2 linked regions of the Canis lupus familiaris genome follow. The protein of the gene in region 1 purifies or fractionates together with the protein of each later gene. This does not show direct contact. Links are inferred from orthologs where the notes say so. Each region holds a gene or a part of one and is shown in the gene's direction. Other genes may lie near its edges. The genes, in order: ASCC3 and RPS3.

Region 1 (16,311 bases):
TTTCATGTGCATAAAAGAGATAAAAGTAAGTCTTGATATTCTATTCTGTTTCCCATGGCTCTCAGTTCTGATAAGAAGTGAAGAGAGGCTATCCTTATCTGTTTAATACAATATATTTGCTTTAATTAAGAAGGAAAAGGATTGTGGGTGAAACATTTGTCTCTCAATATGTCTTTATCTCTCATGGTAACAGAACTCCTTAATTTTAACTGAATATATAGTTGCCTAAAATAAAAACTACAATTCCCAGCTGCCCTTGAAACTAAGTGCGGCCATGTGACTAAAGGATGGGTGTACTTTCAGTTCAGGTTCCCAAAATAGGTCTCTCTGCTACTCCTCTTCTTTAGACTGCTACTTGGAATATAGTCTTGGTTGCAAGTCATCTCATATTATTAGAGGAGAACAATACCCTAGAAATTATAGAATAACAAGAAGGGACCTCGGTCTCTAGATGACTAAATCCTAAATACAACCACACTGTTCCAAGATTACTGTTGAGGAGGTGACTGAAAAGACATGACTGCTGGTTGACCCATGAGCTGAACCCCAGGCAATCAAAGGCACCCCTCCCTGTCCCCTGTCTTTGAAATATGAGTTCTGCTTGCCTTCTTGCTCCCAGAAGCTGCCCTGAGGACATAGGTTTGAGATAATGATGTGGTGCTGAGACTAGTTAGACAGTATAAGGCAGTATATATACTTGACTGAACCTAGTTAAGGCCTCTATACACACTTTTTAAGATTTGACAGGTGGGTGTAGGGATCCACGTGTCTTGTACCCTAAAATAAACTTTGTATGTAAGTCTCCTTTAGTTATTAAAACTGACACTTACCAACCTGGAGTGGCCTTCCTCTTTCTTTTGTCTCTTTCTGCTCTCCAAATACAGGGACCAGCTTCAGATTATATTGGGGATACTCCCAAGGAGCTTGTAAACCAAAGATTACTTACCTATCTTGTTTTGTGAGAGGAAAACTCTATTGCTACTGTCATTTTGGGTCTCATACAGTCTAAACAATTCCCTAACTTATCTGTTAGGGGAATCACAGCATGGCAGCAGTTGGCAAGGAAAGATTCTCCCATTCCCACACAGTGCCTTAGGTAATAAATATGTTTCAGCCTCAAACTTTGGGTGGGTGATTTACTTGCATTAGAAAGGCAAACCTAGGGGATCTCTGGGTGGCTCAGCGGTTTGGCACCTGCCTTCAGCCCAGGGCGTGACCCTGGAGTCCCGGGATCAAGTTCTGCATCAGGCTCCCTGCATGGAGCCTGCTTCTCCCTCTGCCTGTGTCTCTGCCTCTCTCTCTCTCTCTCTCTCTCTCTCTCTCAGTACAGGCAAAAGGAGAAGCAAGCTCCTTGCAGGGAGCCCAATGCAGGACTCGATCCCAGATCAGGATCATGCCCTGAACCAAAGGCAGATGCTCAACCGCTGAGCTACCCAGACATCCCATACTTAACTCATCTCTTACAGGGTCTTTCCCTCTATCAATATCTTGTAAGTTTGCTAGTTTTTCTATCTTAAAAACACACATAGACAAAAGTCTTTCTCTGGACCCTAAAATCTCCTTGATTGCTCCTTTTTTCATGCATTTATTAGACAAAAATGATTCTCATCCCTGTCTCCATTTTCTCTCTTCTCATTTATTCTCTTAATTTGCCATCTGATTTCCATCTCTATCTATCAAGTTACTATAATTGCTTCCAATTCATCAATTATATAAATCTCCAAAGACATTAATTTAGTCTCCGTTCTCCTTGACTTTGAGCAGGAATTAACCTTGTTGATGACTTTTTAAAAAAATGATTTTATATATCTTTACTAATCTCTTTCCTCTTTGGCCACCCTTTCTTTCTCCTTTGCTAGCTCCCTTTCCTCCTCTGAATCACAAGGGTAGTGCACCTGAATTGTTTTGATCTTTTTCCTAATGGTATTATTTCTCTTAATTTTCTTTAAGACTACTCCTCTCCACATTTTATCCTTACATTAGATTTACTATAGCTTTCACTTAAAAAAAAAACAAACTCCCTATCTTACCATTTATTCTTTTGAATTTCACATTTCCTCCCATATGACCTTGTTCCTTGAACTCTTCCTCCTCCCATCTATACTGCTTCCTCTCTAGACCTGCTGCACAGCCCTATCTGGAAATGTTTTTTAGCTTCTAAGATTGGTACACCTTTTCCAGAATTCCATTTTTCCTCTTTGTTTTCAGCCTTATTTTGCTGGAATTTTTCGCTGGAGTTTCTATCCTTAGTTTGCTGAGGTAAAGATCACATGGGAGGAAAATGCTCTGCAGTTCTACATCCTTGATGATCTAAAAATAACTTTATTTTGCTCTTAGTTAATTGCTCTTTAGTTAATTGCTAAATTGAATGAGTATAGACTTTTAGACTGAAAGATATCTACCATTAAAATATTGAAAATATTCTATCATTGTCTTCTAGTATCCAGTGCTGTTGATAGGTCTGATTTTTTTTTTTTTTTTTCTTAAGAGATGGAAAGAGCCAGAGTGCAGGGCTGCAGGGAGGACTATAGGGAGAAGAAGAGAGAGAATCTCAGGCAGGCTCCTGACCCAGAGTGGAGCCCAATGTGGGGCTCAATCACACAACCCTGAGATCATGAACCTGAGCTGAAATCAAGAGTCAGATACTTAACTGACTCAGCCACTCAGGTGCCCCAATTTGTCTGATTTTTATTCTTTCATTGATAATATATTTTTTTGTGCTTAGAAACTTGGGGTTTTATTATCATTAATACTATTGACTATTATTATTCCTAGTTTTTATTCTTGGTTTTACATGATAATATCTCCAAGTATGGATGTTTTTTCACCTATTTTCTGGTACCCAGTAGTCTACTCAATCTGAAAACTTGTTTCCTTCTACATTCCAAAAGACCTCTTATAATTAAAACATTTTTTTCTCGCTTTTCTTTTTCTAAATCTCTTTCTTTTCTAGCAGTTGAATGTTAGTCTATTGGATTGGCTATCCATGACTCTTATCTTTTCTCATATTTTCTGTTCATGTCTTTGTATGCTTGTTCTAGACTTCTTCAATTTTATCGCCAGTATTTTCCCTTGAATTTTTCATTTAAGTAACTGTTTTTTGTGTGTCAGAACTCTTTTTCATCCTATGCTTGCTTCTTTTTCAGGGTACCTTGTGTGTAGCTTATAGATATAATATTCTGAATACTGAAATATATAAATTGGAGTGATTTTTAAAAATGTTCCTTTTCATTTTATAAGTTATATCTATTTCCTTTAGTTTCTTTTTTCTGTTTTTCTTAGTCTTTCTCTTTCATAATGGCGATTTTCCTGTTGATTTTTTATTGTATGTTTATACATACACATACACACATGCAAATACGTTTATGTAAACATGTATTATACTATATATAACATTTTATATAAAAATATTTTTATTTATACATTACCTATAATATATAAAATATATAATATATAAATACATATATGTCCATAAATATATTTGACAAAATATATATTTATGTTTATAATCTTAAAATATGTTAAATTTTAAAATTAAAAATATAAAAAAATATAAACTGGTCATTGATAATGGTTTTCTTTTGCTTTCAATAAGTAGGATGTCTTCCACTTTTCTCTCCTATATAGGAATTGTGAACAAGTAGCTAGGTTTGGTACTGTAGGACCAGGAATGCTAAATATCAGGTTTTACTTTAAGATGAGTAGGCAAGCAACTAGCTCTCTGGATGCTGGCCCTGAGTACCAGAATGAGAATGGTATTTCTCTTTGTTGTCAACATAAAAGCTTTCATTTCCTCTCTACTATTTACATAATTCATTTCAAGAAGACTTTTGGGGTCATTTTTGGTTTCTATGTTTGGTGGCAGGTGTCTTTGTCTACAAATGAAGAAGGAAATATGTGTGGTGCCTGAGTCAAGTGTAACATATTTCGAATGTTATCCCTATTTTCAGCCCTTATTCTCACTTCTACTCTCTGCCATGCCTCAACCAACTCTTTTATAACTACTTCATTGTATTTTTTGGCAATGGTTTTGGGTGTTATTCCAGAGAATATGGTCTCTTTCTCTACTATTAGCTTTGTTTCTCAGGAAATTACTGAAGTTTCATTTTTCTTTTCTCTGTTGATCATACTTCTCTCCATATAACACATACTATCTTTACTCTTTTCTTTATTCCTCAATGTTTCTAATTCTAAATTTTCATTTCAGCAGTGTATAGGAAAGAACATTAGGCAAATTACATGCCTAGTCCACGGATCTTGAACAGTAAGTCAAGAATAACTCTATAGATATTATAAGCATATATTTTGCCACTTGGATAAAACCTATTGCAGAATTCCCCATGGCTGACTATTCCTTGGCCACATGATCACCTCTACAAAATTCTTATTCAAAGGGAAATAGAATTACTTCCAGGGTAAAGGGAAGAGCTCACATTTCTTTAGCTGTTTGGTAGTCTAACAAATTCATTTTATTAATTAAGAAAGAGGAGGAAAATGGTGATTGGGTAGGCAACCACAGTAGCCATCATAATTTTTTTCTCCATATCATCATCATTTCTTAAAAGGACTAGGGAAGCTCATTTTAGAACTAAGCATCCCTCAGAGGTTAAGTGTCAGCTACAGGTAAGACACTGCAGTGGGGTCCAGCAAAGATGGAATTTTAAGACCCAATGTTGTAAGCTGGAGTATGCAAAATGAAGGGGGGAACAACGGACTGAGAATAGGTAAAACCGAAAAGGTCTAGAAGCCGAGGCTGTGGGACACTGGTGAGCTGTTGCAGACCTAGTGGACACATATACTGAGATATACTAAGAGACTACTGGGCTGCAAATGAGTCAGGAGCGTATCAACCCATTCTGACAACACATGAGGTGATAGGGCTGAGAATGAAAGGCTAGAATGCTAAGAATGACAGAACATAGAGATGAAAAGAAACAAAGACATGGAAGACTTTGTTGAGCCAATGAAAACATGTTGGAAGCACTTTCACCTTGAGATTTTCTGTTTTTGAGACAATTTTGAAAAAATTAAGGCACTATTAGTCAAATGATCTAGTTACATACACACACGTATATAATTATACATATACGGATTTCATATTGTGCATGTATTATTTTGCAAACTATTTACTCAGTTGTACTCTTTGATATATTTCTGTATCAAGCAACATAGATTCATATCATACTTTTTTAATACCTATAAAGCATTCTACTTTATTTTTTTTTAATTTTTATTTATTTATGATAGTCACACACAGAGAGAGAGAGGCAGAGACATAGGCAGAGGGAGAAGCAGGCTCCAGGCACTGGGAGCCTGATGTGGGATTCGATCCCGGGTCTCCAGGATCGCACCCTGGGCCAAAGGCAGGCGCCAAACCGCTGCGCCACCCAGGGATCCCAGCATTCTACTTTAGAGATGTGCTGTACAATAATCCCCCTTTGTTTGTGGGGGATACACCCAAGACTGCCCCAGTGGATGCCTGAAACCAATGCTAGTACCAAACCCTGTATACCCTGTTTTTTTCTTACATATGCATAGTTATGACAAAGTTTAGTTTATAAATTAGGCACAGTAAGAGATTAACAACAATGACTAATAACAAAATAGAATAATTACAATAAAATATAATAAAAGTTATGTGAATGTGGTCTCTTTCTCTAAATATCTTATTCTAGTGTACTCACCCTTCTTTTGATGTGAGATGATAAAATGCCTAGTGATGAGATGAAGTGAAGTGAATGACACAGGCATTGTGACATAGCATTAGGCCACTATTGACCCCTTGATGATTTATCAGAAGAAGGATCATCCGCTTCCAGATTGTGGTTGACCTCATGTAACTGAAACAGCAGAAAGGGAAACCCTGGATAAGGGGCAAGACTACTATCATCAATTTAAAACAATCCTCTATTAATAATACATTTTTAAGTAGGAGTTTTAGTTGGTTGCCCAACCACCCATTAATTTCAACCCATGCTAGTCAATATTGCCAAGAGATTCATACAATCCCAGTTTCTAATGGTCAGATCCTGATTGCCTACAGTACTAAACTTCTTAAATTAAAAATCGAGTCTTCTTACATATTAGTTCCTAATTTTAACTTTATCATCACTACCTTCCAATAAGCACCTTCTATTGTAGACAAACAGGTTATTCATTATAATGGAGTGCATCTGCAATCTAGTTTCCTTGTCTCTGCTCATGGCACTTTCTGGACAGTTTTCTTTCTCTTCATTAGGAATTCTGTCATCAGACTCTTCCCACTAATATTTCCGAAAACCCTCCAGGGATTACAAAGAGGACAAAGATAGTTCTTAGAGTTCAGTGAAGTGTATTTCCCTCTAGGTCAGGACTGTCCAATAGAAATAAGATGCAAGCCACCTATGTAATTTAAAACTTTCAAGTAGCCACATTAAAAAAATAAACAGGTAAAATTACTTTTAATATATTGACACAAATGTTAAAACTTCAATATGTACTCAATATACTAATTAAGATATTTTACTTTTTTGGCACAAAGTTTCAAAATCTGGTGTATAATTTGCACTTACTGCATGTCTTCATTTGAATCTACCATATTTCAAGGGTAAAGAACCGCATTTGGTTAGTTACCAAATGCGGCTAGGCAGGGCTCATTTGCAGTTTCCTTCTTCCTCAAGTCTCTGGAACTGTGATGATCTGTGATAATCTGTTATGTGAATTACTAGCACTTATTGTTAGTAGCTCTCATTATCAGGTGGCTTCCTCTCATTATTTATCTTTTAATACGTTTGTCTTGCCTCACAAGTTAACCTGTAAATTTTTTTTAAAGTCTAGGACTGATCCAACCTCAAAGTTGGGAATAACTAATAAAACCATGAATTAATTCTTTTGATGTATGGTTCCCCTGCAACTAGTGCCTACCAACTAAGCTTTCACGGGCAGCCCAGGGGGGCTCAGCGGTTTAGCGCCGCCTTCAGTCTAGTGCCTGATCCTGGAGACCCTGGATCGAGTCCCACGTCAGACTCCCTGCATGGAGCCTGCTTCTCCCTCGGACTGTGTCTCTGCCGCCCTCCTCTCTCTGTGTTTCTCATAAATAAATAAAACCTTAAAAAATTAAATAAGGTCAAATCCAGTGAATGAGGCATCCATACATCCTGAGGCAGACAACTTCTCTGACTAGTGCTGGAAGAATATTTTCTTTTCAGGATCTGAAATCTGTTTCTCTCAAAACTGCATTCTTGCGATCACATGAAACAAATCTAAAGTCACAGGACTAGTCTTTATTTGGAGATGTTCCAGTAGCTCTCTCTCTTCCGTGAAAATCCTCCCAAGTTCAATCAGTACTTTTTTTATGCATTACCTTTTGGGGTCCTCTTCATCATCTGCTCCCCTCTGAAATAATGCCAGCCTCTCTGAGTTTGTAATAAAGTGCTCAATCTCAGGGCACCTGGGTGGCTCAGCGGTTGAGCGTCTACCTTTGGCCCAGGGTGTGATCCAGGGTCCTGGGATCAAGTCCCACATGAAGCTTCCCACGTGGAGCCTGCTTCTCCCTCTGACTTAGGTCTCTGCTTCTCTCTCTGTGTCTCTCATGAATAAAGAAGTAAAACCTTAAAAAATATTAATAAAAAAAATAAAGTGCTCTATCTAAAACACCGAACTCCAGTTATGGTTTGGCCAATGAAAAGCATAACTGGATCACCACTGACTGCCTTTCTATGAAACACAGTTCCACTAGGCATCCAGACACATTCCTTATGAGGAAGGGGATGGAAGCGGAGGGAGCCACGACCGTCAGTCAGGTCATGCCATCTTTGCATGCCCGATGTTTCGTCTAGAACTCTTGTATACACGTTCACAAGGGAGTTCTTGAGGTCAGTTATTATTATTTTTTTTTTTTAAATATCGTCTACCTGTCTTTTCAAATGAGCCGGAGAATCTTCAGGTATTTTGTTTTCGGTGGGGACGTCCGACCCAAGCACCTGCTGACAGAGAAAACCTGAAGAGAACTGAGCTGAGAACTGAGAGAGCTCAGGGCAAGCGGACGGGGGACCAGGGAACTAACTGCATCAAGGGTCCAGGAGCCAGGCGCTCCGGCCGGCGACGAAGATCACGGTGACCCGGTCCCTCACGCTCCCTACTTCGCTTCTCTCCTTCACCTTTCACGGGAATCATTAGCCGTCTTCACCTCAGGGAGAAGGTCGGAGAATAAGATGCAGTCAACTCGAGTACCAGCAGGGAGGGTTCTCCGGGCGGTGACTAGAGGCGGCAGCGCGACCCGGTACCCGACGGCCGAGTCCCAGGAGCGCGCGCGCCCGCCGGTTCCTCTCGGCGGCTCTACGGGCGGGGGGGCGGGGCGGCGGCGCGCGCGGGGGGCGGGGCCGAGGGAGCCGACGTGCTGACGTTGGCGCGGCGGCGGGCGGGTGACGTGTAGGCCCGCGCCTGCCCCGCCCCTCGCCGGCCGTGTGGGTCCGGACGGTGGTCGGGGCGCTGCGCTCTGTGGCTGCGGGCGACCCTGGCGGGCTCGGGTGGGGTGCAGAGGAAGGCGTAGCGGGGCGGCTGCCCACTGGCGTCTTCAGCTCTGCCCTCCGCTCGCTCCCCACCCGGCGTGGAAAGGAGAAATGAAAACGAAAGAGAGGGGGGGACGCCAAGGTAGGAGCTGACCGAGTGATGGGAAGCGCGCGAGCCGGGGCCAAGAGGTGAGGAGGTGGATGTGGAGGGGGAGGAGGGGCGGCGCGGCCCGGGGCAGGTGGCGGGCGGCGGGCGGCGGGCGGCTGGGGGCTCCGGGGGTGGCGACGCGGCCACGCGGCCACGCGGCCCGACGGCCCCCTCGGGTTTCGGGGGGCGAGCCACGGGCTGTCACCCCTCTTGGGGCCCGACGTCCTGTGGGTGGTCTCCGGACAGTCTGGTCCCCACCCTTGGGATCTGTAGGTCGGGGTGGCGATCCGAGACATCAGCCTGGGAGTTAGGCCCCGACGTGACCAGATGGGGAGATTGCTCTTCCCCGTGCGTGGGCAATTTGCTTTCATGAGGGTTGCTTTCTTCAGTTACAAAGCCGTGGCAACTTACTTACTCGTTTTCTTCACGTAGATTTTGGGGAAAAGACCTGCTTTGTATTTTTTTTTTTTTTTTAACCCCCACACCGAAAAGTAAATAATCCGGTTAGGGCGTTGATCACGGTGAATTGTGGGTGAGTTTGGTAAACGCTGAGTCTGGAATGTCATTTCGAAGTAAGTAAATGTGTTGCACACGTGAGGGAGGTGTGGTGGGTTACGGGGGGGCAGCTGTGTTAAATAGACTTTTTTTTTTTTTTTTCCTTTTATCATAAGTTACCTTATTTGTTGAATGCAGTGTGTTCGTGTATTTTGCTCACCTCTGGTGGAAAAGAAGCATGATTTCAGTGTTAGCTGAAAGTTTGGTATGAGTGGTGTCACACGTACACTCAAGCTAGGGATCGTATGTTCTTTCCCTAAGTAAGCTTAGATTGAATAGCCGGTATTTCTATCACTAGATTTCTTGTTTCTTGGAGAGAGATACTTTTTTTTTTTTTTTTTTCCCCTCTCTCTCCCATTTTCAAAGTGTTGTGAGAAGAATTCAGCTTTTGATTCTACGCCGGACTTCGCTTCTGTTCGCACATCTTTTAATGATGGCTATAATAATAGTCTCGCATGAGAAAAAATGCTCATTAGAGATGCCAGTTAAGTGTAGGCTAAATAATCTTAATTGAATGAATTAATTTTTCATGGCTTAGCCTTCTTGATCCCTGCTGAACGATTTTTTTTTTTTTTTAAATCATTTCATTCATTCATGTCTTCCTATGTGCAGGGCACTGTGCTAGGCCTAGGAAATCAAGAGAGAGACAGTGTCTGTGCTTGTGGAACTTTCTGTAGTCTCATATCCTCTTTCCAGAGAACCTTGACTGAAGGGTTCCTCTTCCTGTCGTGGATTTCTAGTGAACCAAAGTGTGACTTTTCACGAGGATAAGTTATTGTCAATGTTTATACGTAAGTGGCCTCTAAAGAGGAATAGATTGGGCAGCCCGGGTGGCTCAGCGGTTGAGCGCCTGCCTGCGGCCCAGGGCGTGATCCCAGGATCCCGGGATCAAGTCCCGCGTCGGGCTTCCTGCATGGAGCCTGCTTCTCCCTCCTCCTGTGTCTCTGCCTCTCTCTCTCATTCTCTCTCTCTGTGCCTCTCATGAATAAATAAATGAAAATCTTTAAAAAAAATAATAAAGAGGAGTAGATTATTTTACTTGAACAGCATGACTTGATTTTGCCTTTGATCAAAAAGAAAATATACGGGGCAGCCCGGGTGGCTCAGCGGTTTAGCGCCGCCTTCAGCCCTGGGCCTGATCCTGGAGACCCGGGCCGAGTCCGGCGTCGGGCTCCCTGCTTGAGGCCTGCTTCTGCCTCTGCCTTTGACTTTGCCTCTCTCTCTCTCTGTCTCTAAGTCTCTCATGAATAAATAAATAAAATCTTTGGGAAAAAAAAAAAAAAGAAAGTATACGATGCCAGTGTTTTGCCAGTTAAAAATATTTTTTTTTAAGATTTATTTTTTTGACAGAAGGAGAGAGGGAGTTTGTGTGAGTGGTGGCAGAGGCAGAGGAAGAGAGAGTCTCAAGCCCACCCCCCACCGAGTGGGAAGGCCAGTGCATGTGACTGGATCTCATGACCCTGGGGTCATGACCTGAGCGAAATCAAGAGTTGGCCACTTAACTGACTGAGCCACCCAGGAGCCCTAGGAATAATTATATTTCTTTTTGCAAAGTACCCTTAACTAAAAAATTCACAATCAGAAGTCAGTTTCTACCTGAAAAAGACTATTTTTCCAGTTTTTACATTGGTCTCATTGGATCTCTATGTGTTAATAACTTGTAATTCACAATAATTATATGCACAAAGCATATCATCAGAAATATGTATGGTACTCATTGACAAGTAAACTTTTTGCCTCATAGTACCTCTCTGGGGAGGTAGTTAGCATAAGCTCTTTCAGTGCAAAGTATATCTTGATATAATGTGGCAGTTTTCAACTTTGAGAAGATATCTGTCTGAAGTTGAAATTTTAACAAACACAAACATTTATGGAAAGAAAAAATGCATAATTACCAAAGCGTAAAGAATAAGGTATCTTATGTATTTAGTAATTGTAAGAAGAAGGTAGGCATTGTGTGTCTATCTCATACATAGTTTTTTTTAAAGTAGATACTTATTTATTACATCTTTTTGCCTAGTATAATGCCTTGCTTATAGTAGACAACCCTATATAAATGTTCATTCATTTAGCATACACCATCTCATTTAAGTCCTCCATTTTTGCATGTAGATGAGCAAGTATGTTTGAGAATGTTCGCTGTTTGGTCAGTTTCATTTTTCTGCTGTTTGCTATGATAATCTGCTTTACAAATTGTCTTATTTCTGAAACTCTGTTACTCAGATTTAATGCAATTTAATCCATCTTTGAATATTCTGATTTAATCAGATCATTCAACCTGAAGGGGGTGTAGAAAATCATTTTGAAATCCTGCTTTATTTTATGGATCAGAAAGTTGATATCCAGAGAAGTTAGCTGACTTCTTATCATCAACAAAAATGGGACATCTGAACTCAGTTCTCCTTATTTTTATTTTACTTTCAACTATGTTATCTTGCTTTTCATTGTTATTTGAACAGACTAACTCTTGGGGAGTAAATTAAGATAGAGTCTCATTTTATCTTTCTGATTTGGGAATTTTGGGTTTATCTTCTTTTACTTTTGTGATTCACTCTTCAAAGAGAATTTGTAGGAAGTTCATTATCAAAGGCTTGAACTGAATGAAAAATAAGGGTGGAATTTGGAAGAAGTACATAATTTAAAAAGCTATTAACATGTAATAAATTTACAGGTAGCAGTAAGCATTGTCAGGATATGTTTTAATAAGATCATTGTTGAGAAATACTTATATATATTTTTAAGATTTTATTTATTTATTCATGAGAGACACAGAGAGGCAGGGACACAGGCAGAGGGAGAAGCAGGCTCCATGCAGGGAGCCCCATGTGGGACTCCATCCTTGGCCTCCAGGATCACGCCCTGAGTCAAAGGCAGACGCTAAACCGCTGAGCCACCTAGGCGTCCTGAAATACTTATATTTGAAGGAGAGAAAGTTCATACCTACTTACTTAATAACTAAACCAAAGGTTTTCAGGTGTACTGAGTCAAAATTTCTGGGCATGGTGTCTAGAAACGTCTAGAATGTCTAGAAATGCTAGAAATGCCAGTGATCCCAATGCAATCAATTCATATTGGAGAACTTTTACTCTAACCATATAATTCAAAAGCCTCTTAATTTTTAATTCTGTTCTATTAAAGCAGAACTTCAAAAGAAGGGAGGGATTTAGTCTCAGAATTATGGGTAGTCAGGCAGTTGCTAATGTTTCCCAGCATTTTTATTTTTATTTATTTTTTTAAAGATTTGTTTATTTTAGAGAGTGTGCATGCCTGTGCGTGTGTAGGAAGGAGGGAAAGCGAGAGAGAGAGAGAGAGAATCCCAAGCCCACTCTTCGCTTATCACAGAGCCCAAAGTGGGCGGGCCTCCATCTCACAACTCTGAGATCCTGACCTGAGCCAAAACCAAGAGTCAGATCTTTACTGACTGTGCCACTCAGTTGCCCCAGTTTTCTAGCATTTTTAGAGACTTGCTAGGTCATTTTGAAATTAAGTCAGTGACTAGCAAGTTATTTAATTGTGTGTCGCTAAGACACATTGCATGTGATTTTGATAAAGGAAAACATATTCCATTCCAAGAGAGGAAATTCTTATTAATGAGACAATTTTCCTTTTTTTTCTTTTCCTCTTTTTTTTTTTTTTTTTTCCTATTTTGAATGTTGATCTTGAGCCTACAGTGAGAAGGCTGGCCCCAGACATCTCCAAATCCATGTTTCTTTGCCTCTAATTCTTATGTGTCCAAAGACAAAACCACACAGACACACCTGTTGTTGGAGGGTTCTATTTGTCTTTTTAGAAATATTTCTTTATGTACTTTCTTGAAAGTCAGTAAAATGCCCAACAGGCCACTCAGATGAAACACTATAAAAATGTTAAAATCTGCTCTTAAACATCAGCAGAGATAAGTATACCTTCATCTTGATTTAAAAAACTTAATTCTAAAACACTACATAAATGATTTATAAGAACTTAATATGAAGATGATACTCAGTTTGCAAAAAAAAAAATAATTTCAGTGCATCTTTTCCCAGTGTGCATGCATTTTCTAAATTAGACCTGATTTAGGCAGTACTTTCAACACCAACGGGGCTTGCTAAATGGTCTTTCTGAGCATTCTTTAAGGAGTGAAGGAAACTTTGCAAAATATTAGCACTGTCTGTACTCTGCGAATGGGGAAACAGAAATAACTTAAAGATCACTTTTGAAAAGAATCACAGATTAATTGCTGGCTTTGTGAGACTGTTCAGTGAATTGACTTGAAGCAAGGAAAAATACTAATACCCGTGAATGCTGTCTGGTCAGTCTGAAGTAAGCAAAGTAGAGGCCTTGTCGTTGATTTAAAAAGCGAAAAAGTTGGTGTCCTAAGTTACTGATTTTGTCTATTAGCTTGGGAAGAAATTAGAGCTGTTAGGGAGTTTGTAAAATGATTGATACAGCTCTAGTTTTTCAGAGCTATTCACTTGGTATTTATTGAATATAATAAAAATGTTAGTTAAGAAATACCAGGTGACTGAAAGCTGTTCCTACATTCTTCTGTTATGGATTTCCTTCTGAGCCCACTCCTAGCCTAGGCTTTCTAGCTACTGTCAGCTTTTATCATTGCTTTTTGTTTTCTATTAGCCTGATAGTTAGAAAGTGCTTAAATATTAATTTTAAAATTAAATTTCTGCATGTATAAGTTATTGAGTTCTTTGAGAAGAGTGACATCATGAGTTGAATAAATCACATTAGGTTTTTATTTTTGTATTTGAGAAAATTTACTAGTTTGTAAAATATCTCTTATTCAAGACTAAAATAAATTAATGATTAAATTAACTTATGTGGGAAAATATTTTTGAGGTCTTGAAGATGATGTAAAAAAATTTATTTTATATATATATGTTTTTGTGTGCACACATATGTGTGTGTATTCAGATCTGTAAATACTGGCCCTTTTTTATGGCCACTTTGGCCATCCTTCCTGTCAGTCCATCCATCTGGCCATTACACAGGTACTTACTGAGGACCTGCTATGCCCCAAACAGTATTTTAGATAATGTGGATACTTTAATGAACAAAGCAAAATTCTCACCTTCATGGGGCTCATATTCTGTTTGATGAAGCTGATGAAAACACAGGAAACGTGTGTCATGTGATAAATGCCATGAAGTAAAGTGATTGGATGGAAGAGAAGGACCAAGAAAGGGGGTGCCATTTTAGATAGGGTGATCAGAGAAGGCTTCTCTGGTAAAGAGACATTTGAGCAGAGACCTGAGGAAATGAAAGAGCTACCTATGTGGCATGTGGGAGAAAAGTGTTCGTGCAGAGATCTGTATCCACATCAGTGGAAAGAAGGCCAATATGGATGTCCCAATATAACAGGAGGAGAGTTACAGGAGATCACATCAAAATGTAAGAGAAAGTTAAGTTCTTTTAAGTCTTTTGAAGTTTACTCAGAGATATGGGAAACCGTTGAAGGATTTTGAGCAGAGAAGGAGCCACAAATGTTACCTCTTTGGGGAAAGAATCATTCTTGTTTATGTGTGGAAACTAGATTGTTAGAAAGTAAGGATGAAAATTGGGAGACTAGATAGGGGATTGTAATAATCACCAGGGAAGAAAGGGTGATAGTGAGAAGAGGTCAGATTCTGAAAATATTTTGAAGGTAGAGTTGGGAGAGTTTGCTGATGAGTAAAGCATAACTCCCAAGTTTTTTTGGCCTGAGCCAACAGGCAGAATGGAGTTGTGATCACTTAAGTGAGGTAGACCATCGGGAGGAGATTTGCAGTGGGAGAGCAATTTTGATATTTCTAAGCTTGAGTTGACCTATTAGACATACAAGTGGAGATGTGGAAGAGCTAATGTGTATACAAATCTGGAGTATAGGAGTGATGTACAGGATGTGTAAGTTAAGAATTAGGAATTAGCATATAAATAATACATAAAGACTTGAGACTGAATGAGATCACCTAAGGAACAAGTGTAGCTGGAGAGCAGGTCTTGATCTCTGTTCTTGGGACACAGCAATGCTTAAAGGATAGGAGGATAAGGAGGAACCAATGGGAGAAAAAAGTGCCAGTATTGTTGGATAAAAAAAAAAAAAAACAAGAGATATTGGTGTTCTAGATGCAAAGTGAGGCAACTGTCTCTACAAGGGCTAGGTCAAAAACCGGAATTAAACAAGAACTGAGAATTAACATTGAATTTGGCAATGTGGGGATTATTTGTGATACTAATAGCTCTTGTGGTGAAACAGTGGAGCTAAAAGTCTGATTGGAATGGAATTTCTTTGTAGATAAGCTGAAAAGTAGGGTGTTAATTAAGAGGTCTATGGAGTCAGTGGAGGTTTTTAAGTATGGGAGCTCCTATACTGTATTTTTAGGCTTTGGAGATGATCAGTAGAAAAGAAAATATTAGTAATAAGGAGAGAGGGAACAATTTCACTTCAGCAATTTTTTAAATATTTTATTTATATATTCATGAGAGACATAGAGAGAGGCAGAGACACACAGGCAGAGGGAGAAGCAGGGACTCCAGGATCATACCCTGAGCCAAAGGCAGATGCTCCACCGCTGAGCCACCCAGGCGTCCCTCACTTGAGCAGTTTTATCACATATACCTATTGAGTACATTTTTCTTGAACGAATTAATGAATGAATAAAAAGTTTTCACCAAATGCTGTATATTTTTTATTGGTGCTGAATAAAAAGTGGGATAAAGAACACTTTGGTTCTTTTTCAGATATTTTGAAAACTGATTAGGTTAAAGTCTTCCTTGGTTAGATTACCATCTTGAAGTTTACTTTTTGACCCTGGGGACCTGGTGTTTTTCAAGTCTTTACAAATAGTCTCTTAAGGTGTGCTGCTATGATGGGCTTATCTAATCTTTTACTTTGTATTCATTTTTTTTCCCTTTAACCTTTTAAAAAGACTGGTACCTATTTCAAAAATTTGGTCACCTATTATTATCTATTCCCTTTAATGGCATTGATGCATAATATGTGTGGGAACATTAAACAAGTACCCAGATGCTCAGTGTTCAAATGTTCAGTCTCATTAACCTTAGAATTTACAGATAAGGGCAGCCAGGGTGGCGCAGCGGTTTAGCGCCGCCTTCAGCCCAGGGTGCGATCCTGGATATCCCGGA
Region 2 (16,104 bases), on another chromosome or scaffold:
TAGGTAAGGTCCATCTTTTGCTCCCAAAGGGTTCAGCCCATTCATTCTGCCTGAGGTGTCCACCGGTCTAGCAAACACCTGAGTGTCTTGTGAACCTCAGCTCAAGGACTGGATCTCTGTGATGTCTTTTCAAATACTCTGCCCTCTTAGTACTCTATTGTCTCCACCATGGCACTTGTGATGTTTATCACACTTATTTATCTGTATCCCCCACTGCGTCCCCAGATCTGAACTGGGGCTCAATCAGATTCATAAGTTTCTGCAGGACCTGGCATAAGCTGTGGATCCATGTAACAGCTAATGCTAATTGAGCACTTACTATGTTCTAGGTGCTTTACTATGTGCTAAGCATTTTGCCTATATTAATTCTTTTTTTTAAGATTTTATTTATTTACTAGAGAGAGAGAGAAGCAGAGACACAGGCAGAGGGAGAAGCAGGCTCCATGCAGGTAGCCCGACGTGAGACTCTATCCGGGGACTCCAGATCAGGCCCTGGGCTGCAGGTGCCGCTAAACCGCTGAGCCACTGGGGTCGCCCTATATTAATTCATTTAATCTCACAATTGTCCCGTGAGGTGGGTTTACTATTATTTTCATCCATTTTACAGATGAGGAAATTTATGCAGAGATAACTTGCTTAGGTCATGTAGCTAGTAAACAACCAGACCTGGGGCTTGTACCCAGGCTGTCTGACTTAAGTCTGTGACCTTAAACATTATGCCACATTGAAAAGACACTTGGGAAAGTTTTGCTGAATGAAAAAACCTGGAATTTCTTCAAAGTGTCATTCAATCTGAAAAGTTCTTTGGCTGATCTCAAAGGCAGGGATTTAAATCAATATCCCGGGCACCTGGGTGGCTCAGTGGTTGAGCACCTGCCTTTGGCTCAGGGCGTAATCCCAGGGTTTCAGGATCGAGTCCCACATCAGGCTCCCTGGAGGGAGCCTGCTTCTCCCTCTGCCTGTGTCTCTGCCTCTCTTTGTGTCTCTCATGAATAAATAAATAAAATCTTTAATAAATAAACAAAATACCCCAGCCTGCCATGTGGATCTAGTGGTCACCTAGGCAGTTTACTCAGAAAAACCTGAACTTAAACCATTGGTCTCACTGAGTTCACCTCTATTCATTCACTGGACCACATGGGCCTCAATCTATAAGGAGACAAAGGGTGTGTGAATGTGGAAGAGGGGTTGTGATGGTCTGACTTTCCTGGCTCTAGGACTGCAGGAACAATCCTGAATTTCCCCCTGATGGGTCTCCTCCCCCTGTCTAGAGTGGATCTGAGACAGAGTGGGTCCTAGGATCTCAACCGAGCATGCAATTTATCTCTGAGTTTCCCAAGGCCCTAGGCAAACAGAGGAAAAAGATTGGTGTGTAACACTCCACGTGAGCTATCATTAAGTCTGTGAACAGTTACTAATCACCCAGGCTCTGCCAATCACTGTGCCCACTCCCAAGAAAACAAAAAGAAGCCAGGAACCATTGATCTGTGCAGTCAAAAGGACTACTACAGCTTTGCCCAGCAGAACTGTAAGAGCCACAGCTGGGAGCCACATATGTAATTCCAGTTTTTCTCACAGCTCCATGAAAGAACAGCAAAAGAAACAGGTAAACTTAATTTTTTAAAAAAGATTTTATGTATTTATTCATGAGAGACACAGAGAGAGAGAGAGGCAGAGACATAGGCAGAGGGAGAAGCAGGCTCCATGCAGGGAGCCCGGTGTGGGACTCGATCCTAGGACTCCAGGATCATGCCCTGAGTCAAAGGCGGATGCTCAACCCCTGAGCCATCCAGGTGTCCCTAAACTTAATTTTAATAACATATTTTAACTCAATATATCTAAAATGTTATTGTCTCAACATGTAATCAATATAAAACTACACTAACGAGATGTTCTTTTTAAAAATATTTTAAAATCTTGTGTATATTGTACATTTCTAGCACTTTCCACCCTGACCAGCCACATCTCAAGTGCTTGGTAGCCCCGTGAGGCCAGTGGCTACTGATTGGGAAAGTACAGATCTATAATCTAAGAAAATAAACTTTTTCTTTGCCTTAAACTTTCAGAAGAAAGGATTGTGGCATTGGGTGTTGGAGGCTGGGACATTCACACTGTTTCCCAAGTGATCAGAAATCTAAACCATAAGTGGCTCTTGCAATTTTTTCTTTATTTGTTTTTAAGTTCACAGGTAATGGATATGTTTTTATTATAAGGAAAGCAATAAAGTAAATTGTCCCTTAATCTTCTTCAATACTGTTCCATTCCCAGAAATAGGCTTAACTATCTAGCACTTGGCTATAGATCCTTCTTTATTTTTTTCATATTTTTTTATTTATTCATGAGAGACACATAGAAAGAGGCAGAGGGAGAAGTAGACTCCCTTCGGAGAGCCTGATGCGGGACTTGATCTCAGGACTCTGGGATTACGACCTGAGCTAAAGGCGAATGCTCAACCACTGAGCTACCCAGGTGCCCTCTTGGTACTCCTTTCGCGTGCATATATTGAATCACTTCATTCTCTTTAATGGCTACATGATATTCCAGAGCCATTTCCTTACTGAAGGGATTTTGGGCTGTTTTTAATTTATTTTTTCACTACTGGTAATACTGCAGAAAGAGTATTCTTGCCCTTACCTCCACGTACATTTCTGTAAGTGTTTTTCTGGAGTAGATAAAACGGAGTGTATTTGCTGGGAAATCTACGTCTTGAGTGATAGTAGGTGCCATCAAGCTACCCTCCACAAGGAAACTCAATTCATATCCCCTCCTCCCCTCAGTGCGAGGATTTCTCACACCCTTCCATCATACACTGGATCTGATTTTTATTGTAAGGAGGGGTATCAGATTTTAGTATCGATACAAATGCAGTAAAAAAAATATTTTTTTTATATTTATTCTACAGTATTCTTCTCTTCATATCCAGAGATTCAATTCCAGGCCCAGAGTGAGTCACTGATGATTTCTAATGAAATCAACAAGAATGTGACAGCATCATCATGTCCTACTGTGGGGCCTTAGAATCTAAAGTGAGTGATAGGGAGCCCTGGGTGGTGCAGCGGTTTAGCGCCTGCCTTTGGCCCAGGGTGCGATCCTGGAGACCTGGGATCGAATCCCACATTGGGCTCCCGGTGCATGGAGCCTGCTTCTCCCTCTGCCTATGTCTCTGCCTCTCTCTCTCTCTCTATCATAAATAAATAAACATTTAAAAAAATAAATAAAGTGAGTGATAACCGAATATGGTCAATGTTACCCTAGTACAATAATCTCTCCAGAAGCGCCCTCGTGGATACCAATGCACCTTCTAAGAATTCAGTTTTTCCTCCAGGACTGGCATAGATCTTCAGTTCTTTGGTCAAACACTAGATGAAGTTGTTAGCTTATTCAGGGATCTTGTAGAAAAAAAAACATAATTCTTCAAACACTCAGCCCACCAAGCTGTTCACTCTGAGAGGCCCTCAGAGAAGTGAGACCTAGACAATCCGCAGGAGTGGAAGTGCCCTCTGTCTACCTCATTGGGAGCCAGGTGCTCATGGAGGAGGGAGGCAGGCACTCCCTCCCTCGCTTGCACTATTTATTACTGTTTTTTAAATATTTTATTTTTTCATTGAGAGAGGGAGCGTGCAAGTGTGGGAGGAGGGAGGGACACAGAGAGAATCTAAGCGGACTCCTGTGAGCCTGGAGCCTGAGGTGGGGCTCGATCTAACGATCAGAGCTGAAACCAAGAGTTGGCCACCCAACTGACTGAGCCACCCAGGTGCCTCCACTTGCAGTATTTAAATTCTCTTTTTTGGGATGCCTAAGTGGCTCAGTGGTTGGGCACCTGCCTTTGGCTCGGGGCGTGATCCCAGGATCCAGGATCAAGTTCTGCATCAGGCTCCTTGCAGAGAGCCTGCTTCTCCTGCCTGTGTCTCTGCCTCTCTCTGTGTCTCTCATGAAGAAATAAATAAAATCTTAAAAAAAAAATCTCTCTCTTTTTTTCATGTGGACTTCCTCTAGTGGGAGTCAGGTAAGTTTAAAGCTTTTTATGAGATTCCATTGTTCTGGTCTTCAAGTGACTACACTGTCTTCCAAAATCGTGCAGTGTATTTGTTCAGCCAGGGCAAATTTCCCCTTCAGTTTTCAGGAATTTCAAGAAAGTACCTACTTGTGTGGCACTCGCAGAGCCCTGGCATGGCCTGCATGTGGCCGTATGTGTTCTCATACACAAGGCTCCCTCTTTCCAGTTCTGGGGATTCTTCTGTGGCACTGTAGGCTCAACACAGTGAGCTTTGTCTACACTTCAGAGACCCAGGGGGAGATTAAATCACTCTCACAGTTCCTTCTTGGATTAGAGTTCAGTGTATTGTGACCACTATTATTTTTATGGTGTTATTTTGAGTAATTTAATATCTTATTATAATGGTCTTAGATAAAATGTAAGGCATCATGATAAAGACAAAGGCTTCCTTTTTGGGCTTCCTTCTGGAACCAGAGCACAATACCTAGAAGGCAGCCTCTTAGTGTCACTGGAGAAAGGCAGTAAATGAGCAACTATGAAGCCTTCAGCAGTGGATTTACCTCCAAGAACTCACCATGGTCTGATGCTCAGTTTTGGGTCTCCAGGGTTTGGTTCAGATATGGTACTTGCCAGCAAATTCATATGAACCATGCTACTAGGAAATGATCTAAAGCCAGAATCCATGCATTGATTTATTTGCTCATCAAACTTTTACTGACACTGGGCTTAAGCCAGGCCATACCCTAGGCTCTGGATGTAATGAACAAAACAGGTTTGGTGTTGATGGTCTAGTGGGACATAAGCAGCCCATTCCAACCCAATGAGACAAGGTGTTATGGTTATGGGAGCAACTAAGAGAGAGTGACATACTTAGCACAGGGAAGGAAAGAGCCAGTAAAAGAATAGTATCACAGGAAAGATAAGCCATGACTGCTAGGGCAAGGTCTCAAAAGAAGAAAACTAAATGTGAACCAGAAGTCTCTTTCCTGAGTAGGGAGGGAGGGCCAAGGACACATACAATTCTAAGATGGGTGAGAGGCAGTTCTTGCCGGTATAATCTACCTGGGGACAAAGGGTTAGGAAGCAAGTTGACTGCTGAGAGTGAGGGAGAGGTTCTGATTTGGCAAAGATTAGAACAGACACTGTAGGAGGATGAGGGACATATCTGAACAAGGAAATATGCTGACCCCAGCATGCATGCAAGGGGTGCTCCCCTTCTGGCTCCCACAGTGCCCATGCCCTGAGTGGGGGCACACAGAGGTCAGACTCACAAGGGTGGAGACTATATCAGTCTGGCACCATTGAATTAATAGACCATGGAGTTGGATAAGGAAAGGAGCAGAGAGCACAGGGAGACAACACACAGAAAAAAAGCCTGATCATGGGTTCCTCATCTCAGTGAGGGTTGTCACCAAGCTTCCACCGCTGGAGTCAGAAACTGGGGTATCCTCAATTCCTCCTCAACCTCAGTCCATCACCAAGATACATAGCTCCATAGCCTCCTTATCTCTTTGGTCCATCAACTTCTTTTCATCTTCCCTGGTCCCTCTGCTCTGCTCCCCCGAGAACTCTGGTGATTCCATGAGTATAGGACAGAACTTTGCATCAGATTCTTTCTGCTGCTGGGGAAAAGCTCAAATGGCTTCTAGAGCCAGACAATGAATGAGTGAAGATGCCAGGGATTGTGGCATGTTGGAAAGCCCTTCGCCATAAAACAGGGAAGGAGAGGGCTGCCATGAGGAAATGTAGGTCTAGTATTTTGCTGGATCTTTCTGTATTTTTAAGAGAAGCTTAAAAGAGTTTTATAGAGAAGTTTCCTGATTTTTAAATGTAGGCAAACTATTCAAATTTAAGGGGCACCTGGGTAGGTCAGTGGTTGAACATCTGCCCTTGGCTCAGATTGTGATCTTGGGGGTCTTGGAATCCAGTCCTGCATCAGGCTTCCTGTGGGGAGTCTGCTTCTCCCTCTGCCTGTGTCTCTGCCTCACTCTCTCTGTGTCTCTCATGAATAAATAAATAAATCTTTGAAAAAAAAACTATTCAAATTTAAAATAAAACTGTTCATCACAGAAAAACTTGTTTTTCTTTTCTTCTTTTCTTTTTATTGTATCTGTATGACACGATGGGTATTAGCTGAACCTATTTTGGTCATCATTTCACAATATTTGTAAATCAAAGCATCATGCTGCATGCCTCAAACGTATACAGTGATGTATGCCAATTATTTCTCAATAAAACTGTTGTTGAGGTGTTTCAGAGTAAAGTGTGCAGAGGGCTGTAATTTACCTTGAAAAAGATCAAAAGATGCACCCTTGGGTGGATAGAGGGATGGATAGATATGGGATAAAGCAAATATGGCAAAAATGTTAATTGGATCACCTTAGTGACGCATATACATAATTCTTTCAACCTTCCTGTGTGCTTGAAAATTTCAAAATATAAGGGGTACAGTTTTTTTTAACGGAAAAATAATTGTGACCCCATGAACCACTACTTGGTGACTTCCGTTACTAGTTTTAATGGACTTTATGAAAGTGAGGCAGAGGTAAATGAGTTCATAATATAAAGGGCATAGAACAGTCCCTAGCATATTTAATAAATATTAGATATTTATATCGCCAGCATTTGGAACAGAGAAAACGGACACAGAAGGGCTGGACCTAAACGAATTTCATTGAGTGTAGAGTGCAGGGACTAGGATTGCACGCTGTTGCTGTGTGAGTTTATACCTGTAATTTCCATCTCTGCGCCTCACGTTGCTCACTTAAGCTAATAAGAATTGGACCTAAGCTCCCCTGATTGATCTGCTCCCTTTCCTGTTTCTGCCTATACGTGTCTCCATTACCCCTCCTTTTTTTCCCCTCTTTAATGCCTTCCTAAAAACTACAATTCCCAGGAGCGCCTACAGGCGTCGACGTCGCGCAGTTCTTTGTCGTAGCTCGCGCCCTTTATACCTACTTCCGCCCACGAGCCACTTCCTTTTCTTTCCGGGGCGCGCGGCGGCAAGATGGCGGTGCAAATTTCCAAGAAGAGGAAGGTAAGACGCTGGGGTCTAGGTTCGGGGATCTGTGGTGCCGCGCGGGTCGAGGCTTGTCGAGATGCCGTCGCGAGACCCTCAGCTTCGAGCCCTGCTTCGGGAAGCGGCCTGGGCCGCGTGGCATTCCCGCGGACCGCGGATGGCGGTGGATTGAATGCGAGGCCCGAGCCAGGCGAGCGCGGTTTGGCGGCGGAAGGGAGTGATGAGAGACGTCTGCCGCTTCTGGGCGAAGACCAGACGTGAGCACCGGGCGCCCCTCCCGCCCGAGACAAAGCGCTTGGGAGCATTACTTGGTTAACAGGTAGCTTTAGTAAGCGTATTTTGAGAGGTTGGGCCGTTCCCCCTAATGTCTCTCACTAGGACTTTGGGGGGGGGAGGTGGCGTGTGCACGCCTTCTTCGTGTCGGGGCGCGGCCCTCTGACCCCCGAGACCTCGGTTGGAGAGGCTGCTGTATCTTGCCCCGTCTCTACCGCGGAGAAAGTAACCGGGAGGGAGGAGAACCGGACAGAGCACTGGATCGAGCTTTAACTTTTCGCTTTTCCGCAGGCGGAAACTGTAAAGTCCGCTTGCTTTAGAAAGAGGCAACTAACTTGTCATTTTGTGTGTGTACACAGCGTCGTGCAAATCCACACACTTTTTCGAATTAGAGTTCAGCTTTGTGAGACATGTACTGTAGGCAAGATAACATGGCTGGGAGTCTTCTGATGGTCCCTGAAGGCAGCGTATTTTCATGGGTTACAAAGGTAGCATCTCTGCTCTGCAGACAGAAGGAGTTGTGAATGTGCCATTTTATTTTATTTATCTTAAGATTTTACTTATTTATTCATGGGAGACACAGACCCAGGCAGAGGGAGAAGCAGACTCCATGCAGGGAGCCCGATGTGGGACTGGATCTCGGGACTCCAGGATCACGCCCTGCGCCGCCCTGGACCGGAGGCAGGCGCTTAACTGCTGAGCTACCTGGGCATCCCGTGAATGTGCCATTTTAGAGCAGCTGTTTGTTTGGCATGTGCTACTCCTAAAGAAGTCTTTAAAACCCTTCAATGAAGAGAAGATGACGAGTCTGACTGGAGGTGTTATCTTTGCCAGGCGGCCCCTACTCCTTGCTGCGTTCTGTGGCAGTTTTAAGGGTCCTTGGGTTAAAGTAACTTCCAAAGGACGATCTAGAGGCATTTGTCTGAGAAGGGTTGTTAAATTCTGTGTTGGAACAAGGGTAGTAAGAGTGATGATGGGATGTTTGTATGAGGTGTTGCATTGGCAGAAGGACAATGACCCTGCCATCCCACGTTCTAATTGTGAATTTTCCCTTTTGGTTAGTTTGTCGCTGATGGCATCTTCAAAGCTGAACTGAATGAGTTTCTCACTCGGGAGCTCGCTGAAGATGGCTACTCTGGGGTTGAGGTCCGAGTTACACCAACCAGGACAGAAATCATTATCCTGGCCACCAGGTGAGATCTCATTTTCCTGGTTAGCACCTGTTACTTGTTGTATATGCTAGGTTGGTGTATTCTGTAAACTTCCAGGGAGAACCAGTGAATTGGCCTTATTAGCAAACGTAAGTGGTTTGTTTTTGTTTTTAAGATTTTTATTCATTTGAAAAAAAAAAAAAAAGATTTTATTCATTTGACTGAGAGTGCAAAGCGGAGGATGGGAGGGGGTGTTGAGGGGCTGAGGGAGGAGCAGGGAGCCCTTTGCCGGGCTTGATCCCAGGGCCCTGGGATCTTGACCTGAGTGACCTGAGCCAAAGGCAGACACTTACCAACTGAGCCAACGTGGCACCCCACAAATGTGTATTTTCGTAACTGCCTTTTAAATCTGATTCTAGCTCTTGTCATCCAAAATTTGTATTTTCTATGTTAGACGGGTGAGACTTCATTACCACATATATGTAAAATTTAAAGCCATGTTTGCAGTTTTGTGAGAGCTATTGTGTATTTTCGTTTTCTCAGGACACAGAATGTTCTTGGTGAAAAGGGCCGGAGGATCCGGGAATTGACTGCTGTGGTTCAGAAGAGGTTTGGTTTTCCTGAGGGCAGTGTAGAGGTGAGTGATTTTGCCTTTTGCCAGAGATTACCGTGGACCTGGAAATGGTTATTTAGGGTGGTTACTTTTATAAACCCTTAATGTCATGAAGACCTTAGTTATCACCAAGTATTACATATGAATTGGTGTTTTGTTGGTTGTCTTAATAAGTAGCAGGCTTTATTTTATAGGCCTTTTCTGCTCATTTCTGGTGGTTAAGGGACTTTTTTTTACTCTCAACTTAAGTATGGTAATGATATGTATGATGGATTGGCTATCCCATCACTTGATGTAGCTGTAGAAGTATCTAGGGATGAGAGGGCAATAAGGAAAGATTCAGACTATGTCACAGCGTAGGCTACCTATGAGTAGTAGGAGTGTTTTAGTACTTGAGGGATGCCACAGTGACCACATGCTTGTATGGTGAATGAGTTTTTTTTTTTTCTTTAATTGAAAACAATGGGGAAAGTTAACAGGTTTAAGGGTGTACCTTGATTTCTTCTTAAAGCTCTATGCCGAAAAGGTGGCCACAAGAGGTCTATGTGCTATTGCCCAGGCAGAGTCACTGCGTTACAAACTCCTAGGAGGCCTTGCTGTGCGGAGGTAAGTGTCCTGAGACTTTTTTTTTTCAAGATTTTATTTATTTATTCATGAGTTATACACAGAGAGGCAGGGAGATAGAGGGAGAAGCAGGCTCCTCACAGGGAGCCTGATGCAGGACTCAATCCCTGGACCAGGATCACACCCTGAGCCAAAGGCAGACACTCAACTACTGAGCCACCCAGGCATCCCTGAATGATTATGTTTTAAAGAGTGGTCAGTGCTATAAAGGGAGTACACTTCTTGGTGCTTAGGTAATAGAACAAAAACAACTCCAGGGAGAGGAGGTCAGGGTTCCCGTTGAAGTTAGCTCCATGAAGTGTGGAGATTATAAAGGCATAAGACATAGTCCTGATGGGAGAGAGCTAATCTGAGCAGTATGTAGGTATGATGTGAGGAGTGGATTATAGAGTGTATGAGGTAGCTAGATTGGCCCTGGAGCCGGGCCTTCTGATGAGGTTTCAGTAGGAGCTCTTTGTGTACTTTCATTGTTGTAATTGGAATGCTTTTCCTGGGTGTATGAAATTTAGGTGGTACTTCCTGCAGAGCCCTGGGAGGTTTTCTCAGCAGGAGAAGAAATTAAGAGCTGTGCTTTAGGAACATTGACCTGGTGGGGAGATGGATGGCAGGAAAGGTGTTATAGGTAGGGACATACAAGAAAGACTGCCTGGCTGGTTTGAATGCCAGCTACACTACTTAGAACTGTGGTCCTCAAAAGCTTAATCCTTGGGCTATGATCACTGATATCCTTGGAGGAATTGTTAGAAAAATTCTCAGTCTCCACCTGCTGAAGTGAAAAGGAGTGTGGATCAGCAACCCTTTTTATACCCACTGACTTGGAAGTTCTGAGACCTGAGCCACTTACTGAACATTTGACCCTTGGATCTCCTGTTTGTAAATGGGGGGTCATTATATCCACCTCTCCTTTTAGTGGTGATTAAATGAGATGATGCGAAGGGGCTTGAACCTAGAGTGGTGGGTCCTGCTTTACTTTCCCTGTTGAAGGTGGCAGCTAGCTCTCCTAATTAGTATGTCCTAGGGTGTATAGTAATAAATGAGTTGGTGGGGGGCATATTTTACGGCTTATTGTCATTTTTATAGTTCTAGAAGTATCTTTTCCAGCACTCTGTTCAGGGCAGCTAGGAGCCTACATTAGTAGCTTGGATTCCTAATAAATGTGAATTCTGGAGATTGAGGAATATTTAGTAAACCATAAAGGGGCCGCTCAGTGACTGGGTTCTTACTGATTGTTTACCAACTCATTGTGAAATGCTGCATTTGCAGAGATGGACTGGATGACCTATGCTTGAGTTATACCACCCCCACCATTTAATTGCCAGTTTAGGGGTGCCTGGGTGGCTGAGTTGGTTAAGCGTCCAACTCTTGGTTTTGGCTCAGGATGTGATCTCAGAGTTGTTAGATTGAACCATGGTCAGCTCTCAATCTGTATTGAGTGTGGAGGCTGCTTAAGATCTCCCCTCCCTCCATTTGCATGTGTCCTCTATCCCAAATGAAAAAAAAAAAAAAAAGAGTAAATTCTTGAGTCTGTAATTGCCAGTTTAATTGACCTGGTGTGAGGCTTGGACTTCACAGGTGTTGTTCTAGTTTAATCTTGAGGTGATTGTAATGTACACCCAATGCTGTGAAGCATTTGGGTTAGAAGGAACTGGAATATATATTCCTTAAAGAATTACCTTAAGATTAGGTGTGATAGGAATGGAGAATTGCCAGGCTCTGGTCAAATTTATTCTCCATTAAAGGAACACTGAAGATATTGTAGACTAGTAAGTCTATGGCTTTGTTTTTATTTTTTTAAGAATGACAGGGTGGTTAGGATGCCTGGGTGGCTCAGCAGTTGAGCATCTGCCTTTAGCTAGGGTGTGATCCTGGGGTCCCAGGATCGAGTCCCACATTGGGCTTCCTGCATGGAGCCTGCTTCTCCCTCTGCCTGTGTCTCTGCCTCTCTCTCTCTTTTTCTCTCTCTTTCTCTGTGTCTCCTGTGAATAAATAAATAAAATCTTAAAAAAAGAGAATGGGAGGTGGGATGGGGATAGGGTAGGCTTGAATAGTCTTGTCTTTGGTTATAACAGGTGGATGTTTCTTGTTCTCCCAAAGGGCCTGCTATGGTGTGCTGCGGTTCATCATGGAGAGTGGGGCCAAAGGCTGTGAGGTCGTGGTGTCTGGGAAACTCCGAGGACAGAGGGCTAAATCCATGAAGTTTGTGGATGGCTTGATGATTCACAGTGGAGACCCTGTTAACTACTACGTTGACACCGCTGTGCGCCATGTGCTGCTCAGACAGGGTGAGCAGCTGGGAGTGCTTGAGGCAGAGGGCTTTTAGCAGATAGATGTGGTTTTTTTTTCATGTATACCTCCATGTCAGGGAACATGTTTTGGGAGTAGTGGAGCATGTTTGTACTCCATGTGAGTTTATTCACGAGCTGCATTGACCTCTAAGAAGTAAATTGCTGAGATCCAAGAGTTGGTTTGCTTTTGTCTCAGCCACCTATGTACCCTTCGGTGATGACACGATGACGAGTCAGAAAGGTCACATCCTGCTCTTGGTCCTTGTCAGTGCCACGTTCTGTGGTGCTGTGCATGGGTTCCTTTTGCAAAAGTGTCCTGTTTATTGATTGATTAGAGGCATTTGTCTGAGAAGGGACTGGATCCATGGGTGCTTGAGTAACCTACTATTATTTTACTCTGCTCTATCCTATTGTGGGACAGGTACAACCACAGCTAGATTCTAATTATGGCATCTTCCAGGTGTGCTGGGCATCAAAGTCAAGATCATGCTTCCCTGGGACCCTAGTGGTAAGATTGGCCCTAAGAAGCCCCTGCCAGATCATGTGAGCATTGTGGAACCCAAGGATGAGATACTGCCCACCACCCCCATCTCGGAACAGAAGGGTGGGAAGCCAGAGCCGCCTGCTATGCCGCAGCCAGTACCCACAGCATAAATAGGTGTGTCTCTAGGGGCTTCTTGGGGTGGGCATGAAGGACCCTTATCCTTTGTCTCCCTAATAATTGTATATCCCGTACTGTTGTAAGCACTTGCTATGTAAACATTGGATTATACTTACCACGGTTGGAGCCAGAGGCCCATTTAACCAGGGATTCTGTAGGAAGAGAGATTTGCCTTTAGTCTCCTAAGACATTCCTATGTTTACCAGTGTGTTTGAAACAAGAATTTTCCTTTTATTTACTTAAAATCAAGGCACTCTTGTTAGTAGTTACCTGTTGTTCAGCAGCCCCTTCAGCAGTTAAAAAGGTATCACCAATCCTCTTCTATGGCTAGCACCTTTTGTTTGTTTCTAGGTGTTCTGTGTGTATATATTCTTCATGCAAACCCTAAATGAGAAATGAAACAACCCAATATTCAGGTGAAGATTCTGTTCTTACTGTTGTGCTCTATTTGGTTTCAGGGTCTCCTTGGCAGTTGGATCTGGAGGCTGGATTTTACTCTGTGAAGACCTTTAATAAAATATTTGAGTAAAACACGTGGCACAAATAGACTGTCCACTATTTGGTCTGAGAATTCTATTGCCTGAAGGGAACATTAACTTGGTTGGCTGCCGGCCTCATTTTCCCTGAAATCCTTGGTTTCAGCTGTTGTTGTGAGGCAAGAGCCAGAACAGGAAGACCCAAACAGCTAACCAGAGTAATATCCTATAAATCTGTGTAAAGTGAAGGCTGATTGCTAGTTGGATAGCACCTTGATTAATTCACCCACAGTTTGAGGTTATAGGTTTGGAAGAGGGATATATTTAAGATGTTTTTCTTTTCTAATGCATAAAGAAATCTTATTGCACATAGAAAATAAATACGGTGCCTATTGTATTTTCGGTCATTTCTACACTATAGGTAGTTTTGTATAATTCTACATTTTATCCTGAGCATGTCTGAAGTGTAAAGGGAATTTGCTTGTGCCACTGAAAAGCCTGAGAAGTACATTTATTAGAATCCACACTTCTTTGTTCAGTCCTTTTAGCCATTATACTTTAGAAGAATGTAAAGAACATTTACATTGTCTACAGTTTGTCATATTTGAAGTGCTTTCTATTGATAGTTATAAGAAATGGGGTCCTCGTAGTTTCTTTGGGTGAAAGTAGTGTGGGACCAAGGTGGCATGAAAATCCTACGTGGCTATATAGGGAATGAGTTCCATTGAGCACAGCGACAAATGTATCTCTGCCCCCTCCTTCAAGAACCTTTGATATTTATGCTGTATCTAGACCATCACCTATTGCTGGTTTTGTCAGTGTGGTTTTGTTTTAAAGATTGTATTTATTCATGAGAGACCCAGAGAGAGAGCGCGGCAGAGATCCAGGCAGAGGGAGAAGCAGGCTCCATGCAGGGAGCCCGACAGGGAACTCGATCCCTGGTCTCCAGGATCACACCCTGGGCTGAAGGCTGGTGCTAAACTGCTGAGCCATCAGGGCTGCCCTGTTTTTGTCAGGGTTCATGGAACTGAGACCACCTATCACTAGTAGAGACACTTCCCTTTAGAAGTCCATAACCTCTGGCAAAGCTAACGTGTTTACTGTTTTAGGGAGTGGAATGTGTATATTCTAGTCCCTAATGTATTAGGAACTAGAGCCTGAATAAAAAATGTAAATGTTCCTTATTTCCCCATTCTTCCCCTCACCTTGAGGTGACAGTTTCTCAAGCTGATGAAAGTTTTCTGGGAAGGGCTAAGGAGGAGGTGATTTTAGACAGGCTGGTGTTGGGCCTCGTCAGTACTATATGTGTGTAAAGTGAGATTTGAGTGCTCTGGATAAATGATTCTGTGCCCACCCCCAAATCTAATGAAATACAGGCAATAGGGTTTTTGTTTGTTTGTTTGTTTGTTTTTTTTGAGAGTGTGAGAGAGGCAGAGACACAGACAGGGAGAAGCAGGCTCCATGCAGGGAGCCTGATGTGGGACTCGATCCCGGATCCCCAGGATCACACCTCAGGCTGCAGGTGGCGCCAAACCGCTGCGCCACCAGGGCTGCCCCAGGCAATAGGGTTTTATTTATCCCTTCTGGGTAAAACTAGTGGCATTTTGCAATTTACTGAAAAGTGTTGGAGCTATGTTGCTTTAATTCTTGTATTTTTGGACTTGTGTAGTTCAGTTGTGAGGAGATTTTTTTGCTGTGAAAGTAGTTCAGGCTAATAGCATCCAGAATACTGGGTGCTGGTAACAGGTTAAGGCAATCCTGATCATGTAGGGCCTCAGTGTCTAGTACTAGCACAGCCAGTCACAGGTCTTCGTGTATCAAATTATGTAATTGTTTAAATTCTTTAATCTACTTAAAACTGGAAGTTCGGGGTGTTGGATTCAGAAGTGCTGTTAATGTCCCACCAGGGGGTGCTGTAGCAGGAAATAAGTATCAAAGTAGTAGCTTGGGGAAGGAAAGTAAAACTCATTGAATTGCATGCACATGTGGAAAAGTACGTGGTTTATTGGCATGCGTTTGTAAAGCTGGAGTTAATGTGAACGTACCCTTGGATAGCCATTACTCCAGTAAAGAAAGGCTTTGGGGTGTGTTTTTTTTTTTTTTTAACGATTTCAAAAAACGAAAGTAAATGTAGAACTTAGGTAAGCACTCTAACCACAGCCCATCAAGAAATGCAGGTTACTCTGGAGGATGTTAACACCACCAATCCTAGATTAGTTTTTCAGCTATCTCTTTTTCCTTTGTGTCAGTCCCTTTGACATTTTATTTTTTTTAATTTTTTATTTTTTTAATTTTTATTTATTTATGATAGTCACAGAGAGAGAGGCAGAGACACAGGCAGAGGGAGAAGCAGGCTCCATGCACCGGGAGCCCGATGTGGGATTCGATCCCGGGTCTCCGGGATCGCGCCCTGGGCCAAAGGCAGGCGCCAAACCGCTGCGCCACCCAGGGATCCCTGTGTCAGTCCCTTTAAAGTTGAAAGTTGACATGTGAATATCTGACTGGCTACTCCTGTGTGTAATCCAGCTGCCTGAGGTGGGGAGAAAAATAGCTAGCTAGCCCCTTTGATTGTAGAGGTAGGGCCCAGACTTGCACAATGCTCTCTCCTTTACCTCAGTAGGCAAAGTGTTGGTACTGGGCAGCCAAAACTTGTGGAATGGCCCTTGGAACCCAATGGTGAAAATCTGACTGGTTGTAACATGGAAGCAGATGACCTCCTTTCATGGACTTCTCAACAAAAGGTTACTGTCAAGCTCTAAAGAGTTAAGTTCTGGTCATTAGGATTCCTGGCACCATGACAGGCTTCAAGCAGGAGCTGATTGATCAGCTTGTCCATCAGGCAAGGAAAGAATAGCTGCTGAGATGTGAGAACTTGGAAAGAGGCCCTGGGTGCAAGCAAGGGCCCCAGACCAATGGACAGCACTGTCCATATGGAGAACCAGAAGTATAGAAGCTGATGGCTTCAGAGACAATGGGCAGAGGGTTTCTTACGGAGGTTTCCCTCC

What was found.
Region 2: the proteins of ASCC3 (region 1) and RPS3 purify together in Homo sapiens (co-immunoprecipitation; 4 studies listed by BioGRID and IntAct, with this or other methods). This does not show direct contact. The link is inferred for Canis lupus familiaris from reciprocal best matches to the Homo sapiens genes ASCC3 and RPS3.

Annotation. Positions count from the first base shown.
Region 1 is NC_049233.1:59,187,194-59,203,504, reverse strand, and holds the start of ASCC3 (activating signal cointegrator 1 complex subunit 3), read left to right. Parts: upstream 1-8,404; 5' UTR 8,405-8,678; intron 8,679-8,803; exon of another isoform or gene 8,804-9,209; intron 9,210-12,833; exon of another isoform or gene 12,834-12,964; intron 12,965-16,311. UniProt on the Homo sapiens protein: ATPase involved both in DNA repair and rescue of stalled ribosomes. 3'-5' DNA helicase involved in repair of alkylated DNA: promotes DNA unwinding to generate single-stranded substrate needed for ALKBH3, enabling ALKBH3 to process alkylated N3-methylcytosine (3mC) within double-stranded regions.
Region 2 is NC_049242.1:23,293,391-23,309,494, reverse strand, and holds RPS3 (40S ribosomal protein S3), read left to right. Parts: upstream 1-6,970; 5' UTR 6,971-7,004; coding exon 7,005-7,034; intron 7,035-8,072; exon of another isoform or gene 8,073-8,220; intron 8,221-8,351; coding exon 8,352-8,482; intron 8,483-8,983; coding exon 8,984-9,077; intron 9,078-9,564; coding exon 9,565-9,659; intron 9,660-11,771; coding exon 11,772-11,959; intron 11,960-12,171; exon of another isoform or gene 12,172-12,316; intron 12,317-12,422; coding exon 12,423-12,616; 3' UTR 12,617-12,620; intron 12,621-13,081; 3' UTR 13,082-13,496; downstream 13,497-16,104. UniProt on the Homo sapiens protein: Component of the small ribosomal subunit. The ribosome is a large ribonucleoprotein complex responsible for the synthesis of proteins in the cell. Has endonuclease activity and plays a role in repair of damaged DNA.